Linked DNA regions of Anolis sagrei. The protein of the gene in region 2 binds, or shares a complex with, the protein of the main gene of each other region. Links are inferred from orthologs where the notes say so. Each region holds a gene or a part of one and is shown on either strand. Other genes may lie near its edges.

Region 1 (7,471 bases), on a different chromosome or scaffold from region 2:
ATTGTCACGCGGCCGGCAAAGGTGAGCAAGTGAAACAGGATATGCAGCTCCTTTGCCTTTAAGAGAGTTGACAAAGGAGGACAGTCAGCAGGAGCCACTGCCTGCCAGATCCTGTAACAGGACAGTCTGAAGTCCAATGTATTGTCAAAAGCTTTCATGGATGGAATCACTGGGTTGTTGTGAGTTTTCCAGGCTGTACGGTCATGTTCCAGAAGCATTCCCTCCTGATGTTACATGTGGGCGAAACGTAAAGAGAGAATGCTTCTGGAACATGGCCACACAGCCCAGACAACTCACAACAACCCAGTCTGAAGTCCTTTTCCCCTTAGTTATGAGATGCTTGGGGTCGACTTCTCCTAGGGCAGTGATTCCCAACCTCTAGTCCAGTGGCTCTAAACCTGTGGACCATGGACCTCGAGAGCGAAAATCTGGTCTGCAAACCTCCTTTTTATTTGCTTATTTTATTTCCGCTCCCTTCACGCTACCTGCCACTCCTTCCCTGTTGCTGACCATGGCATATGTTCTGTATCTGACGTGGTCTATCCAATGCGATTTTCTGAATTAGCACCCTGAACTGAATCTAAAATTGACCAAAAACCGATTCATAACCCTTTTAGTACTAACGTTGTTTAGTACTAATGTTGGAAAGTGGTCTCTAGTCAAGTATCCCCTGCTCAAGTTAAGGCTGGGAACTACTGCTAATACCTCCAGTGTTTTGGTCTTCAACCCTGAGTCCCCCTACGGGTTGAGAAGGGCGGGGGTAAAAAATGTTCAGAATAAATAAATAAATAAATAACCCAGAAGCCTTGGCTGCCATGGCCAATGTTCAGGGACTCTGGAATGTTAAGTTCAAAACATCTGGAAGACCCCAGGTATATAAAATAGGTTAAAAATCACACATTTACTGAAAATTAACAAGAATTTGCAAGACCTGCTAAAGAGGCTAGTTTTCCTTTTTTGTGGAGTCCAGCTCATGCATCCCGTCTGCAGGGTCCACTGTAAAGATGGCCCGTTGTTGCTGCTGACTAATTTATGTAAAGGGGCAATGATTGGAAACCTTTTACTGCTGCCAATTTTTTGCAACCCCAGCATTGAGCCAAGAAGAGGACCTCTTGGGATCAGGACCCATACTTTGAGGAGCGGTACTCTGTGTAGTGCAAGCATGGGCAAACTTGGATCCTCCAGGTGTTTTGGACTTTAACTCCCACCATTCTGAACGGCCTCAGCCCCCTTCCTTCCCCCCCCCCTTACCTGCTTAAGCTGAGGGGGGAAAGGAAGGGGCCTAAGGCTGTTAGGAATGGTGGTAGTTGAAGTCCAAAACATTTGGAGGGCCTAAGTTTGCCCATGCCTGTTAGATATACATAATGAGAAATCTTGGAGATGAGGCCCTAGGGCCCTTCCACACAGCCATATAACCCAAGTTTGCCCATGCCTGCCTAGTGGCTCCCAAGCATTGGTTCTCTGGGTGATTAGGGCTTCAATTGGCGAGATCAGGAACTCTGGTCTAGGCATGGGCAAACTTGGGCCCTCTAGGTGTTTTGGACTTCAAATCCCACCATTCCAAACAGTCTCAACCCCCTTCCTTTTCCCCCTCAGCTGCTTAAGCTTAAGCTGAGGGGGGAAAGGAAGGGGCCTAAGGCTGTTAGGAATGGTGGGATTTGAAGTCTAAAACACCTGGAGGGCTGAAGTTTGCCCATGCCAGTAATATATTTATGAGATACTAGCCGTCCCCTGCCATGCGTTGCTGTGGCCCAGTCTGTGTATATGTGTTTTGTGTGTATATATATGTGTATTTGTATATATGTGTGTGTTTGCGTAGATATGTGGTTTTGCACCCACGTTGGCAGTCTTTAGGAAGAACTTGAAGACCTGGCTATTCCGATGTGCCTTTCCAGAATAGGATAACCTCCAGCACTACGTCCCAGAAGCACTTTATTAGAGCTTAAAACTCTCTGCACATTGCACTTGCCCAGAATCCCAACATATCACCTCTTACACCCAGCACTTTTTTAACCTGTACCTTTCATTGGCCCGGCCCTGGTTTTATTGCGTAATAGTGTAATGTTTTGTTTTTGTTATTGCTTATGTTTTTAATTTGCTTGCATTGTATTGTTATTGTTTCTTGTTGTTGTTTGAGGCCTTGGCCTTTGTAAGCTGCATCGAGTCCTTCGGGAGATGCTAGCGGGGTACAAATAAAGTTTAATAATAATAATAATAATAATAATAATTTTGCGCATGTGTTGTAATGTATTTTTTGGTATTTAAAGTATTTTCCGCTGTGTTTTTCAGTGTTTTTATAAGTGATGGTTACTTGTTGGCCTGATAGGTGCATTGTGCCCAAACTTGGTGTCCATTCGCCCAGTGGTTTTTGAGTTAGGTTAATCCCACAAACGAACATTACATATTTATTTATATAGATCTTGGAGATGAGGCCTTGGGGCCTTTCCACACAGCCTGGTCTAGTTTACCCATACCTGTTAAGACATACATAATGAGATATCTTGGAGATGAGGCCCTAGGGCCCTTCCACACAGCCATATAACCCAAGTTTGCCCATGCCTGCCTAGTGGCTCCCAAGCATTGGTTCACTGAGTGATTCAATTGGCCAGATATCAGGAACTCTGATCTAGGCATGGACAAACTTGGGCCCTTCGGGTGTTTTGGACTTTAACTCCCACCACTCCTATCAGCCTCAGCTCCCTTCCTTTCCCCCCTCAGCTGAGGTCCAAAACAATCAAAACTGGGAAGCACAAGGCGGAAGTCCACAACCCCAACCTCCTGTCAGACAAGGAGGCCCAGCGTCCCCTTCGGAGACTGCAAGCTTGGCCTCTGCCAATGACAGAAGGGAGGGACAGCCCCGTCGGACTTCACCTCAAGGCCCAGGGCCGTTGGCGAGCAGGCCAGCCCTCCCCTTCCCCTTCCTCTCCCGGCACTCACAGCCCGTCTCCTTCTTGATCTCCTCGATCTCCTCGTCCCTCAGCAGCGTGGACGCCCGGGAGCCCATGGCGGCCGCCTCGAATCGCAACCAGCCTCCGAAGGCAGCGCGCGCGCGTGCGTCTTCTCTCGGCCTAGCAGCCGGGGGCGCGCGGGCGGTGCGAGGGAGGGAAGGAAGGGACGCGCGAGCGGCGCACCGCCAACCAGCTGAGCGTGTGACGTCCCGCCGAGAGCAGAGCCTCCAACCGCCAGGGCGCGCGCCGCTCCCTTTTATAACCTCTTCCCCGCCTGCGCAGAGCAACGCCGACTTCGCGCCTGCGCAGAGCAACACTTCGGCGCCCTCGGCTCCTGGCGGGCGGAGTTTCTCCTGCGCGAGGTGGATGGGACGCGCGTCCTCTTGAGAAATTGAGCCTCGTCTTGTACAGCTCTAGTTGTTTTTAACTTGTATGTTTCGAAATAAGCCTGAGGCCTTTAAGAAATTTTGCCCTTTTTTTCTGGTTGGCCTCACTAGGGCATAGACTACAGCAGGCATGGGCAAACTTGGGCCCTCCAGGTGTTTTGGGCTTCAGCTCCCACCATTCCTAACAGCCTCAGGCCCATTCCTGAAAGGAATGGCCCTGAAAGGAATGGGCCTGAGGCTGTTAGGAATGGTGGGAGCTGAAGCCCAAAACACCTGGAGGGCCCAAGTTTGCCCGTGCCTATACTACAGTCTTACTGGTTGTTTCTTAGGTGCTGTTTCTGTGGGCTGTCTTGTAAATATTGGGTCTAAGCTTAAATATCATAAAGTCACACTGTCCTGCTTGGCCTTGAAGGCTAAGTAGGGTCAGGTTTGGTTAAGCTCTTGGGTGGGAGGCCACCCATTAATTCCAGGTGGTGTAGGCCATATTTGACAGGAAAGAACTGGCAAAACTGAATATCCCTTGCCCAAGAAAACAGTGGGGTAGCCATAGGTCAGTGGGCAACTTGAAGGCACAAACATCCATAGGTCAGTGGGCAGCTTGAAGGCACAAATATACACATTAGACCAGGGGTCCTCAAACTAAGGCCCAGGGGCCGGATGCGGCCCTCCAAGGTCATTTACCCGGCCCTCGCTCAGGGTCAATCTAAGTCTGAAACGACTTGAAAGCACATAACAATCCTATCTCATGAGCCAGAAGCAGGCCCACACTTCCCATTGAGATACCAAAAAGTTTATATTTGTTAAATTGTTCTTCATTTTAATTATTGTATTGTTTTAAGTGATTTTTGCATTACAAATAAGATATGTGGTGTGCATAGGAATTCATGGTTTTTTCAAATTATAATCCGGCCCTCCATCAGTTTGAGGAACTGTGACCTGGCCCTCTGTTTAAAGTTTGTGGACCCCTGCATTAGATGATTGCTGCAAATACAGATATATTTATTTATTTATGACATTAATATGCCGCCCTTCTCACTACGAAGGGGACTCAGAGCGGTTTACAAGATATTTATACATACAATATATTATATTATTAGCATAGTACATATTATTATATTGTGCTACACCATTATATTGTATTGTTATTAGTAATATTGCATGTAATATAAATATATAATTATAATAGCATATTAGTATTATTTTGTATTACATTATAATATAAATATTATATGTATATACAATACAGTATATTACATTATATTATATTATTAGCATAGCACAGGAGACAACGTGGAACTGTCTTCTGCCCTCCTCTCTTCACTCTGGCCCAAAGTGGCAGTTGGTGCTGGGGGAGCGGTCCCCAACTGATGGCATATGCAGGAGGCAAGATGGATCTGTCCTCTGGCCTCCCCTCTCTTCAAGTCATATGTGTGCATATGTCTCTTCTTGGATGGAACACAGGACGCGGAACAATGGCATCAAACTACAAGAACAGAGATTCCATCTGAACATTAGGAAGAACTTCCTGACTGTGAGAGCCGTTCAGCAGTGGAACTCTCTGCCCTGGAGTGTGGTGGAGGCTCCTTCTATGGAAGCTTTTAAACAGGCTGGATGGCCATTTGTCAGGGGTGCTTTGAATGCAATATTCCTGCTTCTTGGCAGGGGGTTGGACTGGATGGCCCATGAGGTCTCTTCCAACTCTATGATTCTTCAAGGCATTACTCTATAGCCCTGTGCACAACATCATTAAATCCGTGCCCTGCAATATATCTGTTTGTCTAACAAGTTCCAGGGTGGTAGAACATAAAGCAGACTGGCTGCTGGAGTATCAGGATGCTTCTTCCAAATGGGACTGATATGTGTAACGCAGGGGGCCTCATACTTTTAAAGCAGAGGGCCAATTCATTGTCCCTAAGACTTGGGGAATGACGACTATATTTTGAGAAAAACATGGACAAATTCCTATGAACACTGCAGATAAATTATTTGTACTGCAAAATACATGAAAGAACAATGCAGTATTTAAAATGAGGAACAATTTTAACCAACAAACTTACCAGTATTTCAATGGGAAAGGTGGGCCTGCTTTTGGCTGATCAGATAGCCAAGTTAATTCAGGTTGTTGTTGTTGTTGTGTGACTTGAAGTTGTTTCAGATTTAGGGTGATCCTAAGTCCAAAGTTTAGACCAGGGGCTGAGTAAATGACCTTGGAGGGCCGCATCCAGCCCACGGGCCTTAGTTTGAGAACCCCTGATGTAAAGTATATGAGATTCCTCTTTTGATGACCTTCCACCTTTTCCAATTGTGGTTGGTTTTGCAGCAAGAGCTGCTTGCTTTTGCCCTTTTCCAGTGCCTTGGTCTTGCCTGACTGATTTTTATTCTTCAGCCTTTCTATCTTTATATTAAAATAAAAGGGATCCTTTTGGTAAAAAAAAAAAAGACACAAACATCCAATTTAAGAAAAAATACATGTTTTCCCCCCATTGAACCTATAGGAATAGTTTAAGAGGAAGGAATTGGTATATCCGCCTTTGTCTATTCTTAGCCTATGAAAACAACAGGAAAGCAATAAATTTTTAGGCAACTTGAAAATATTTCCATAGATACAAAAAGCAAATGAAAACGATGGCTGAAAAATGGGGTATAGAAATAAAGCAAATAAATAAATAAAACCACCTCTGAGTATTCCTACCCTAAGAGAACCCTGTGAAATTGTTTGGGGTTACATATATGCACATGCTTGTTGGAATGGAAGTCAATGTGCACCATTACTCGGGTGCCCAAGATGGTGTTAAAACGTCTTGAACAGAAGGTGATTGGTCTTGACCTGAGAAAAATTGTCAGCTCAGGCTATATAAGCCCTTTAATCTCCCTCTGTTAGCAGGTGGTGTGCTCTTTTAGAAACAAACAAGTTTTCAAAGCAAATTGTAGTTATTTTTAAATGACCTAGACTCAGATATCGAACTGATGCAGTTTAAAGACATTGGCAGTAAACTTTCTTTTCCTCTTCTAACCTAAGGGGCAAGTTTTCCAAATCAAAATTATTCTGAATTGAGGAATTGCCTACTTTAATCATAGTCAGCTTAAGAAAGTATGCCTGTTTTGCTTTTCCTGCCACATGTATGACTGGCTGTAGCAGTCGTAAACACCCAGGCTAGGGAACAATTCCTAATTAACTTAATAAGGTTCATATGTAGGAAAACATTCTCAGGATAGTGTTATAATTGTGATGAGTATACCAAAGTACAGTGCAGTGTCATATACAACTTGTAATTATTCTGATAGACCTGGAGTATTCTGAAAGTCTTTAATGGCTCTGTCCCACCTCCCTTTCCACCTGGTCTTGATTTTTGGACATGAATAAAGTAGATTTATTTTTTTGTAGTGAATCATCTAATTCTCTGATAACGACAAGGTTTCACCCTGTCCCAACCTAACATACTGTGCTAAAGTTCAAGAATTCTTTCTGTTTAGGCAGTAGGGGAAAGGAGATTCCTGGAACTGAGAGCTGCTTGCAGTCATCTAGCTGAAATGGGACAATTTTCCCATGAACTCTATTTTTAAAGTTAAATTCTTTGTTGCTTACCATTTTACATGTCTAGCTGAGCTCTACTTTTAAAAGCTTGTAGTTTAAACAAAGAGCAGTGTAAGTGGCTGAAAGACCAGTTTCTGTGAACCACTATTGAGCTCTATTTCCTTTTCGTATGTATAGCAGACTGATCTTGCTGGCTTCAAAATGACAATTTTTTAAACTTATTTTTTTTGTAATTAAAAAAATACAACTCACACCTTCCCTATAAAAATAAAACAAACACGGACACTATAATAAAATGCATAAAACAGTCTCCCGATCTTCCCTTCCTGTAGCTTTCCTTCCACCATTGTATCACTTTGCTTTAAAAATAGCATTAAAATGACAATCTTGTTTGATTATTCCTCCATAAACGTTTGCAATGAATATGAGTAGAGGGAAAGGAGAGAAGATTTATTGTGCTCTGTAGTTGCTTATACTGAAAGGTTGTGTGTCATTATGCATACAATTGAACTTAATGGAATGGCAAACCTTTCAAATGAGAGACATTCCTAATAGTCACAACCTTCTTGCATGCATGCCTGGAGGTTGAAACGACTCCTAAC
Region 2 (7,812 bases):
TACTCACAAGCATCAAGACATTACATATATTAGAAGCCAACACTTTCTCATTACTTTATTTTCCAGACTGGGCCACAGCAACGCGTGGCAGGGGACAGCTAGTAAATAAATAATATTATTATTATTATTATTATTATTATTATTATTATTATTGGGTTGTTGTAGGTTTTCCGGGCTATATGGCCATGTTCTAGAGGCATTCTCTCCTGACATTTCGCCTGCATCTATGGCAAGCATCCTCAGAGAGGTCTGTTGGAAGTAGGAAAATGGGTTTATATAACGGCGCTCCATGCTGTCATGCTGGCCACATGACCTTGGAGGTGTCTATGGACAACGCTGGCTCTTCGGCTTAGAAATGGAGATGAGCACCACACCCCAGAGTCAGACATGACTGGAGTTAATGTCAGGGGACAACCTTTACCTATATCTGTGGAAAGACCAGGGTAGGACAAAGGACTTTTGTCTGCTGGAGCTAGGTGTGAATGTTTCAGTTGACCACCTTGATTAGCATTTAATGGCTTGGAAGTGCCTGGGGGAATCTTTCTTTGAGAGGTGATTTGATGTGCCTGATTGTTTACTCTCTGTTGTTATTAATTCTTAAAACCTGGGATCAGATCCTGGGATGTAGGGTTTGTCTGGAAGGGTCTTCAATTGCTACATTCACAACAGACAGGCCCATAGCCAGGATTTCGTTTCGGGGGTGGTGGTGGGGGTGAGTGAATTTTTTTCAGGGGGAAGTTTTGGGGGGGGGCTGACTTTCAGGGGGGGCTGAGTCTGAGTGAAAGAGGGTCTAGCCTAGCAAACCTTTTGTATCATTACCCCATATATTGATTATGGTGATCAGATCATGATATGAATAAACATAACAGTTTAAATAATGCACCAGTAAGGCCTTTTCGCGAACCACCATGAGAATTTCGGGGGGGGGGGGGGGCTGAAGCCCCTCAAGCCCCCCCCCCCCCTCCCGGCTACATGCCTGTCTAGATTATGGCCATATAGCCCGAAAAAAACTACAACAACCCAGTGATTCTGGCCATGAAAGCCTTCGACAATACAGCAAGAAATACTGTTTACTCACAAGCATCAAGACATTACATATATTAGAAGCCAACACTTTCTCATTACTTTATTTTCCAGACTGGGCCACAGCAACGCGTAGCAGGGGACAGCTAGTAAATAAATATTATTATTATTATTATTATTATTATTATTGGGTTGTTGTAGGTTTTCCGGGCTATATGACCATGTTCTAGAGGCATTCTCTCCTGACGTTTCACCTGCATCTATGGCAAGCATCCTCAGAGGTAGTGAGGTCTGTTGGAAGTAGGAAAATGGGTTTATATATCTGTGGAAAGACCAGGGTGGGGCAAAGGACTTTTGTCTGCTGGAGCTAGGTGTGAATGTTTCAACTGTTTCAATCATTGTAGTTATTGAATGTAATTGCTATTTTAATAGTTTTACTGGAATATGAATTATGATGTTTTTATTGACTGTATGTGATATTATGGTTGGAAACTGGTCTGAGTCTCTCAAGAGAGGTGAGAAGGTCGATATACAAAACTTTTAAATAAATAAATAAATAAAAACTGACCACCTTGATTAGCATTTAATGGCTTGGAAGTGCCTGGGGGAATCTTTCTTTGAGGGGTGATTTGATGCGCCTGATTGTTTACTCTCTGTTGTTATTAATTCTTAAAACCTGGGATCAGATCCTGGGATGTAGGGCTTGTCTGGAAGGGCCTTCAATTGCTACATTCACAACAGACAGGCCAGGATTTCGTTTCGGGGGGGGGGGGGGTGAATTTTTTTCAGGGGGGAGTTTTGGGGGGATGAGTCTGAGTGAAAGAGGGTCTAGCCTAGCAAACCTTTTGTATCATTACCCCAATACCCCCATGCATATGGGATATATTGAGTAGGGTGATCAGATCATGATATGAATAAACATAACAGTTTAAATAATGCACCAGTAAGGCCTTTTCGCGAACCACCACGAGAATTTCGGGGGGAGGGGGCTGAAGCCCCTCAAGGCCCCCCCCCCCCCGCTACATGCCTGTCTGTTATTAATTCTTAAAACCTGGGATCAGATCATAGAATCATAGAATCAAAGAGTTGGAAGAGACCTCATGGGCCATCCAGTCCAACCCCCTGCCAAGAAGCAGGAATATTGCATTCAAATCACCCCTGACAAATGGCCATCCAGCCTCTGTTTAAAAGCTTCCAAAGAAGGAGCCTCCACCACTCTCCGGGGCAGAGAGTTCCACTGCTGAACGGCTCTCACAGTCAGGAAGTTCTTCCTCATGTTCAGATGGAATCTCCTCTCTTGTAGTTTGAAGCCAGATCCTGGGATGTAGGGCTTGTCTGGAAGGGCCTTCAATTGCTACATTCACAACAGACAAGAGTAATTTCTCCCACTGATATAAATAGCTAGACATACACACTTGCCCCATTTAAGGACATTTAACCAACTACCAAATTCACAAGTTTTGTATTTGTCTGTTTGTTTGCTCTGTTCTGTTAGAAATGTAATATAATGGACTGGTTGCTCTGACACGACAAATAAATAAATACTTGCCCCATTGCCAACAAAACTCTGTGCATGCCAGGCACAGATGCAGGCGAAACGTCGGGAGAGAGTGCTACTGGGACATAGCTATACAGTCCGCAAAACTCACAGCAAAGATTAAGATTAAGAGGTGGGGAAAAAAATGTTTTGGACTCACAGATCTTGGCCACGCTGGCCACCAGGATCCAGAGGGCGATGATGTATGGGTCCTGGACGTGGTGCCATTTGAAGGTGACGACTTGGTAGCCCTCCGGCTCGGGGTCAGGCGGGCCCTCTTCCGATGCCGAGGCGGAGGGCAAGAGGAGGAGGAGGGGGAGGAGGGCCAGCCCCACCAGAGCCCCCCAAGGGCGCGCCAGGCTCATCCTGCTCAAGACCCAAAGGTGCTGCAGCAGCTGCTGCTGGTGGTGGTGGTTCCTGAGCAGACTCGCCCGCTTGGTGCGCGGCACGGAGCGGCGGCGCTCTCTTGGTGGAGGAGGCGCGCTTCGAGGGCTTCGAGGGCGGAGGAGATGGAGAAGCAGCAGCAGCAGCAGCCAGGCTGGAGGTGGAGGCGCCTTTATGCCTTTGCTCAGCCCCTCCGCCCGTCCCCTCGGGGCACACAGGGGCGGAGCCACCCTCCAAAGGGCCGGCCTATCAGCCTCCTTGATTTGTAACCCGCTCTATCTCCCCGGGGGGGACTCAGGGCGGTTTCCAGAAGGGCAAACATTCAGGGCCAAAGGGGGCAAGGAAACAAACCCAAACAACAAATCATTGGCATCAAGACACACATAGAACCATAGAATCATAGAATCAAAGAGTTGGAAGAGACCTCATGGGCCATCTAATCCAACCCCCTGCCAAGAAGCAGGAATATTGCATTCAAAGCACCCCTGACAGATGGCCATCCAGCCTCTGTTTAAAAGTTTCCAAAGAAGGAGCCTCCACCACACTCTGGGGCAGAGAGTTCCACTGCTGAACGGCTCTCACAGTCAGGAAGTTCCTCCTCATTGTGTCCAATTCTGGGCACCACAATTGAAGAGAGATATTGACAAGCTGGAATGTGTCCAGAGGAGGGCGACTAAAATGATCAAGGGTCTGGAGAACAAGCCCTATGAGGAGTGTCTTAAGGAGCTGGGCATGTTTACCTTGAAGAAGAGAAGGCTGAGAGGAGATATGATAGCCATGTATAAATATGTGAGAGGAAGCCACAGGGAGGAGGGACCAAGCTTGTTTTCTGCTTCCTTGGAGACTAGGATGCGAAACGATGGCTTCAAACTAGAGAAAGGAGATTCCATCTGAACATAGAATCATAGAATCAAAGAGTTGGAAGAGACCTCATGGGCCATCCAGTCCAACCCCCTGGCAAGAAGCAGGAATATTGCATTCAAAGCACCCCTGACAGATGGCCATCCAGCCTCTGTTTAAAAGCTTACAAAGAAGGAGCCTCCACCACACTCCGGGGCAGAGAGTTCCACTGCTGAACGGCTCTCACAGTCAGGAAGTTCCTCCTCATTGTGTCCAATTCTGGGCACCACAATTGAAGAGAGATATTGACAAGCTGGAATGTGTCCAGAGGAGGGCGACTAAAATGATCAAGGGTCTGGAGAACAAGCAGAGGCGGCCCTAAGGTAATTTTCAACGGTAAGCAAACAGTATTTTGGCGCACCCCCCCCCCCCCCAACCAATCATTGATATATATTTTCTGTCCATCGTGGGAGTTATGTGTGCCATATTTGGTTCAATTCCATCATTGGTGGAGTTCAGAATGCTCTTTGATTGTAGGTGAACTATACATCCCAGTAACTACACTTGCCACACTTGCTCCCTTGCCTGGCCCGCTTTGGGTCCGGAGGCGTGCCTGAAGACCCCGGCGTGTGCACCAAAAGTCATCTCTTCGCCTGACTCTCTCCTCAGCCATTGGAACCAAGAGAGAGAGAGAGACAGAGGTGGAGATGCCCACCTTTCCTGAAGGTAGGTGCAAAAACAAAGTAGGGAGCGGAGGTGGGAGATACCTCCAGCCGGAGGGGCTCTCTCTCTCTCTTGGTCCCAATGGCTGAAGAGAAAGTCAGGAGAAGAGGCAACTCTTGGTGCGCACACTGAGGTCTTCAGACACGCCTCCGGACCCGAAGCGGGCGGGCCCCTTGGCCCACCCTGCGAATTAGGGAGAGGAGAATTGGATTGGATGGCCTTAAGTATTTTCTGTTGGTCATGGAGGTTCTGTGTGGGAAGTTTGCCCCAATTCTGTCATTCATGGGGTTCATTCAGAATGCTCTTTGATTGTAGGTGAACTATAAATCCCAGTAACTAAAACTCCCAAATGCGAAGGTCTATTTCCCCCAAACTCCATCTGTGTTCATATTTGGGCATATGGAATATTCGTGACAAGTTTGGTCCAGATCCATCATTGCTTGAGTCATAGAATCATAGAATCAAAGAGTTGGAAGGGACCTCATGGGCCATCCAGTCCAACCTCTTTGCCAAGAAGCAGGAATATTGCATTCAAATCACCCCTGACAGATGGCCATCCAGCCTCTGCTTAAAAGCTTCCAAAGAAGGAGCCTCCACCACATTCCGGGGCAGAGAGTTCCACTGTCGAATGGCTCTCACAGTCAGGAAGTTCTTCCTCATGTTCAGATGGAACCTCCTTTCTTGTAGTTTGAAGCAATTGTTCCACGTCCTAGTCTCCAGGGAAGCAGAAAACAAGCTTGCACCCTCCTCCCTGTGGCTTCTTCTCACATATTTATACATGGCTTGGCTATCATATCTCCTCTCAGCATTCTCTTCTTCAGGCTAAACATGCCCAGCTCTTTGAGCCGCTCCTCATAAGGCTTGTTCTCCAGACCCTTTATCATTTTAGTCACCCTCCTCTGGACTGGACACATTCCAGCTTGTCAATCTCTCTTCAATTGTGGTGCCCAGAATTGGACACAATATTCCAGGTGTGGTCTAACCAAAGCGGAATAGAGGGGTAGCATGACTTCCCTGGACCTAGACACTATGCTCCTATTGATGCAGGCCAAAATCCCATTGGCTTTTTTTACTGCCACATCACATCGTTGGCTCATGCCAGACTAATCTGATCTCTTTTTTTGATAGAGTTACAAGCTGGGTAGATGCGGGGAATGCCGTGGATGTAGCGTACCTGGATTTCAGTAAGGCCTTCGACAAGGTCCCCCATGACCTTCTGGCAAGGAAACTAGTCCAATGTGGGCTAGGCAAAACTACAGTTAGATGGATCTGTAATTGGTTAAGCAGACAAACCCAGAGGGTGCTCACCAATGCTTCCTCTTCATCCTGCAAAGAAGTGATGAGTGGAGTGCCATCAGCAGGGATCCGTCCTGGGCCCGGTCCTGTTCAACATCTTTATTAATGACTTAGATGAAGGGTTAGAAGGCATGATCATCAAGTTTGCAGATGACACCAAATTGGGAGGGATAGCCAATACTCCAGAGGACAGGAGCAGGATTCAAAACGATCTTGACAGATTAGAGAGATGGGCCAAAACTAACAAAATGAAGTTCAACAGTGACAAATGCAAGATACTCCACTTAGGCAGAAAAAATGAAATGCAAAGATACAGAATGGGGGATGCCTGGCTCGAGAGCAGTACGTGTGAAAAAGATCTTGGAGTCCTCATGGACAACAAGTTAAACATGAGCCAACAATGTGATGTAGCAGCAAAAAAAAGCCAATGGGATTTTGGCCTGCATCAATAGGAGCATAGTAGATCTAGGGAAGTAATGCTACCCCTCTATTCTGCCTTGGTTGGGCCACACCTTGTGTCCAATTCTGGGCACCACAATTGAAGAGAGATATTGACAAGCTGGAATGTGTCCAGAGGAGGGCGACTAAAATGATCAAGGGTCTGGAGAACAAGCCCTATGAGGAGCAGCTCAAAGAGCTGGGCATGTTTAGCCTGAAGAAGAGAAGGCTGAGAGGAGACATGATAGCCATGTATAACTATAGTAATATATAATACTGATATTGTACTATGCTAATAATATAATATATTGTATGAAAATATATCTTTTAAGCCGCTCTGAGTCCCCTTTGGGGTGAGAAGGCAGCATATAAATGCTGTAAAAAATAGGGAGGAGGAAGCAAGCTGTTTTCTGCTTCCCTGGAGAGAAGGACGCAATGGAGCAATGGCTTCAAACTACAAGAAAGGAGATTCCGTCTGAACATTAGGAAGAACTTCCTGACTGTGAGAGCCGTTCAGCAGTGGAACTCTCTGTCCCATACTGTGGTGGAGGCTCCTTCTTTGGAAGCTTTTAAACAGAGGCTGGATGGCCATCTGTCAGGCTTGCTTTGAATGTAATTTTCCTGCTTTTTGGTGGGGGATTGGACTGGATGGCCCATGAGGTCTCTTCCAACTCTTTGATTCTTTGATTCTATGAATCTATATAAATAAAAATGTGATGTTCCATTTGTGGGATTAAAATAACTCAAAAACCACTGGACGAATTGACACCAAATTTGGACACTATACACCAGGGGTCCTCAAACTAAGACCCGGGGACCGGATACGACCCTCCAAGGTCATTTACCCAGCCCTCGCTCAGGGTCAACCTACGCCGGAAACAACTTGAAAGCACACAACAACAACAACAACAATCCTATCTCATCAGCCAAAAGCATGGGAATTCATTTGTGTTTTTTTCAAATTATAATACGGCCTTCCAACACTTTGAGGGACTGTGACATGGCCCTTTGTTTAAAGAGTTTGAGGACCCCTGCTATACACCTATCAGGCCAAGTGACCATCACTCAAAAATATGATTTTGTCATTTGGGAATTGTAGTTGCTGGGATTTATAGTTCACCTACAATCAGAGCATTCCAAACGCCACAAATGATGGAATTGATGGAACCTGGCACACAGTTCATCCATGACCAACAGAAAACAGAAGGGTTTGGTGGGCATTTACCTTGAGTTTGGGAGTTGTAATTCACCTACATCCAGAGCGCACTGTGGACTCAAACAATGAAGGATCTAGACCAAACTTGCTATGAATACTCCATATGCTCAAATATGAACACATATGGAGTTTGGGTGAAATAGACCTTGACATTGGGGAGTTGTTGTTACTGGGATTTATAGTTCACCTACAATCAAAGAACCTTCTGAACCCCACCAACGATAGAATCAGGCTAAACTTCCCACACAGAATCCCCATGGTCAACAAAAATTACTGTGTTTTCTTTTTTTTTTAATTCTGATGGTCTTTTGCAACCCTTCCGACACCCCCTCGTGACCTCCCCAGGGGTCCCGAC

The links. The genes of interacting proteins can lie anywhere in the genome.
Region 1: the proteins of SLC9A3 (region 2) and CHP1 are in contact, whole or in part, in a cryo-EM structure (PDB 7X2U), measured with the Homo sapiens proteins. The link is inferred for Anolis sagrei from reciprocal best matches to the Homo sapiens genes SLC9A3 and CHP1. Residues at the interface, in NP_004165.2 of Homo sapiens: Tyr396, Arg397, Met398, Gln400, Glu402, Arg474, Leu475, Asn476, Glu477, Leu479, His480, Gly481, Arg482, Ala483, Phe484, Asp485, His486, Ile487, Leu488, Ser489, Ala490, Ile491, Glu492, Asp493, Ile494, Ser495, Gly496, Gln497, Asn501, Arg504; in NP_009167.1 of Homo sapiens: Arg30, Leu31, Arg34, Leu38, Lys40, Glu49, Phe51, Gln52, Arg53, Ile54, Glu56, Leu57, Ala58, Ile59, Asn60, Pro61, Leu62, Asp64, Ile66, Phe70, Phe83, Leu87, Phe90, Leu115, Phe117, Ala118, Leu121, Tyr122, Leu135, Leu139.

Annotation. Positions count from the first base shown.
Region 1 is NC_090021.1:288,858,235-288,865,705, forward strand, and holds the start of CHP1 (calcineurin B homologous protein 1), read right to left. Parts: upstream 3,100-7,471; 5' UTR 3,005-3,099; coding exon 2,938-3,004; intron 1-2,937. UniProt on the Homo sapiens protein: Calcium-binding protein involved in different processes such as regulation of vesicular trafficking, plasma membrane Na(+)/H(+) exchanger and gene transcription. Involved in the constitutive exocytic membrane traffic.
Region 2 is NC_090026.1:59,984,767-59,992,578, forward strand, and holds the start of SLC9A3 (sodium/hydrogen exchanger 3), read right to left. Parts: upstream 3,050-7,812; 5' UTR 2,926-3,049; coding exon 2,721-2,925; intron 1-2,720. UniProt on the Homo sapiens protein: Plasma membrane Na(+)/H(+) antiporter. Exchanges intracellular H(+) ions for extracellular Na(+) in 1:1 stoichiometry, playing a key role in salt and fluid absorption and pH homeostasis.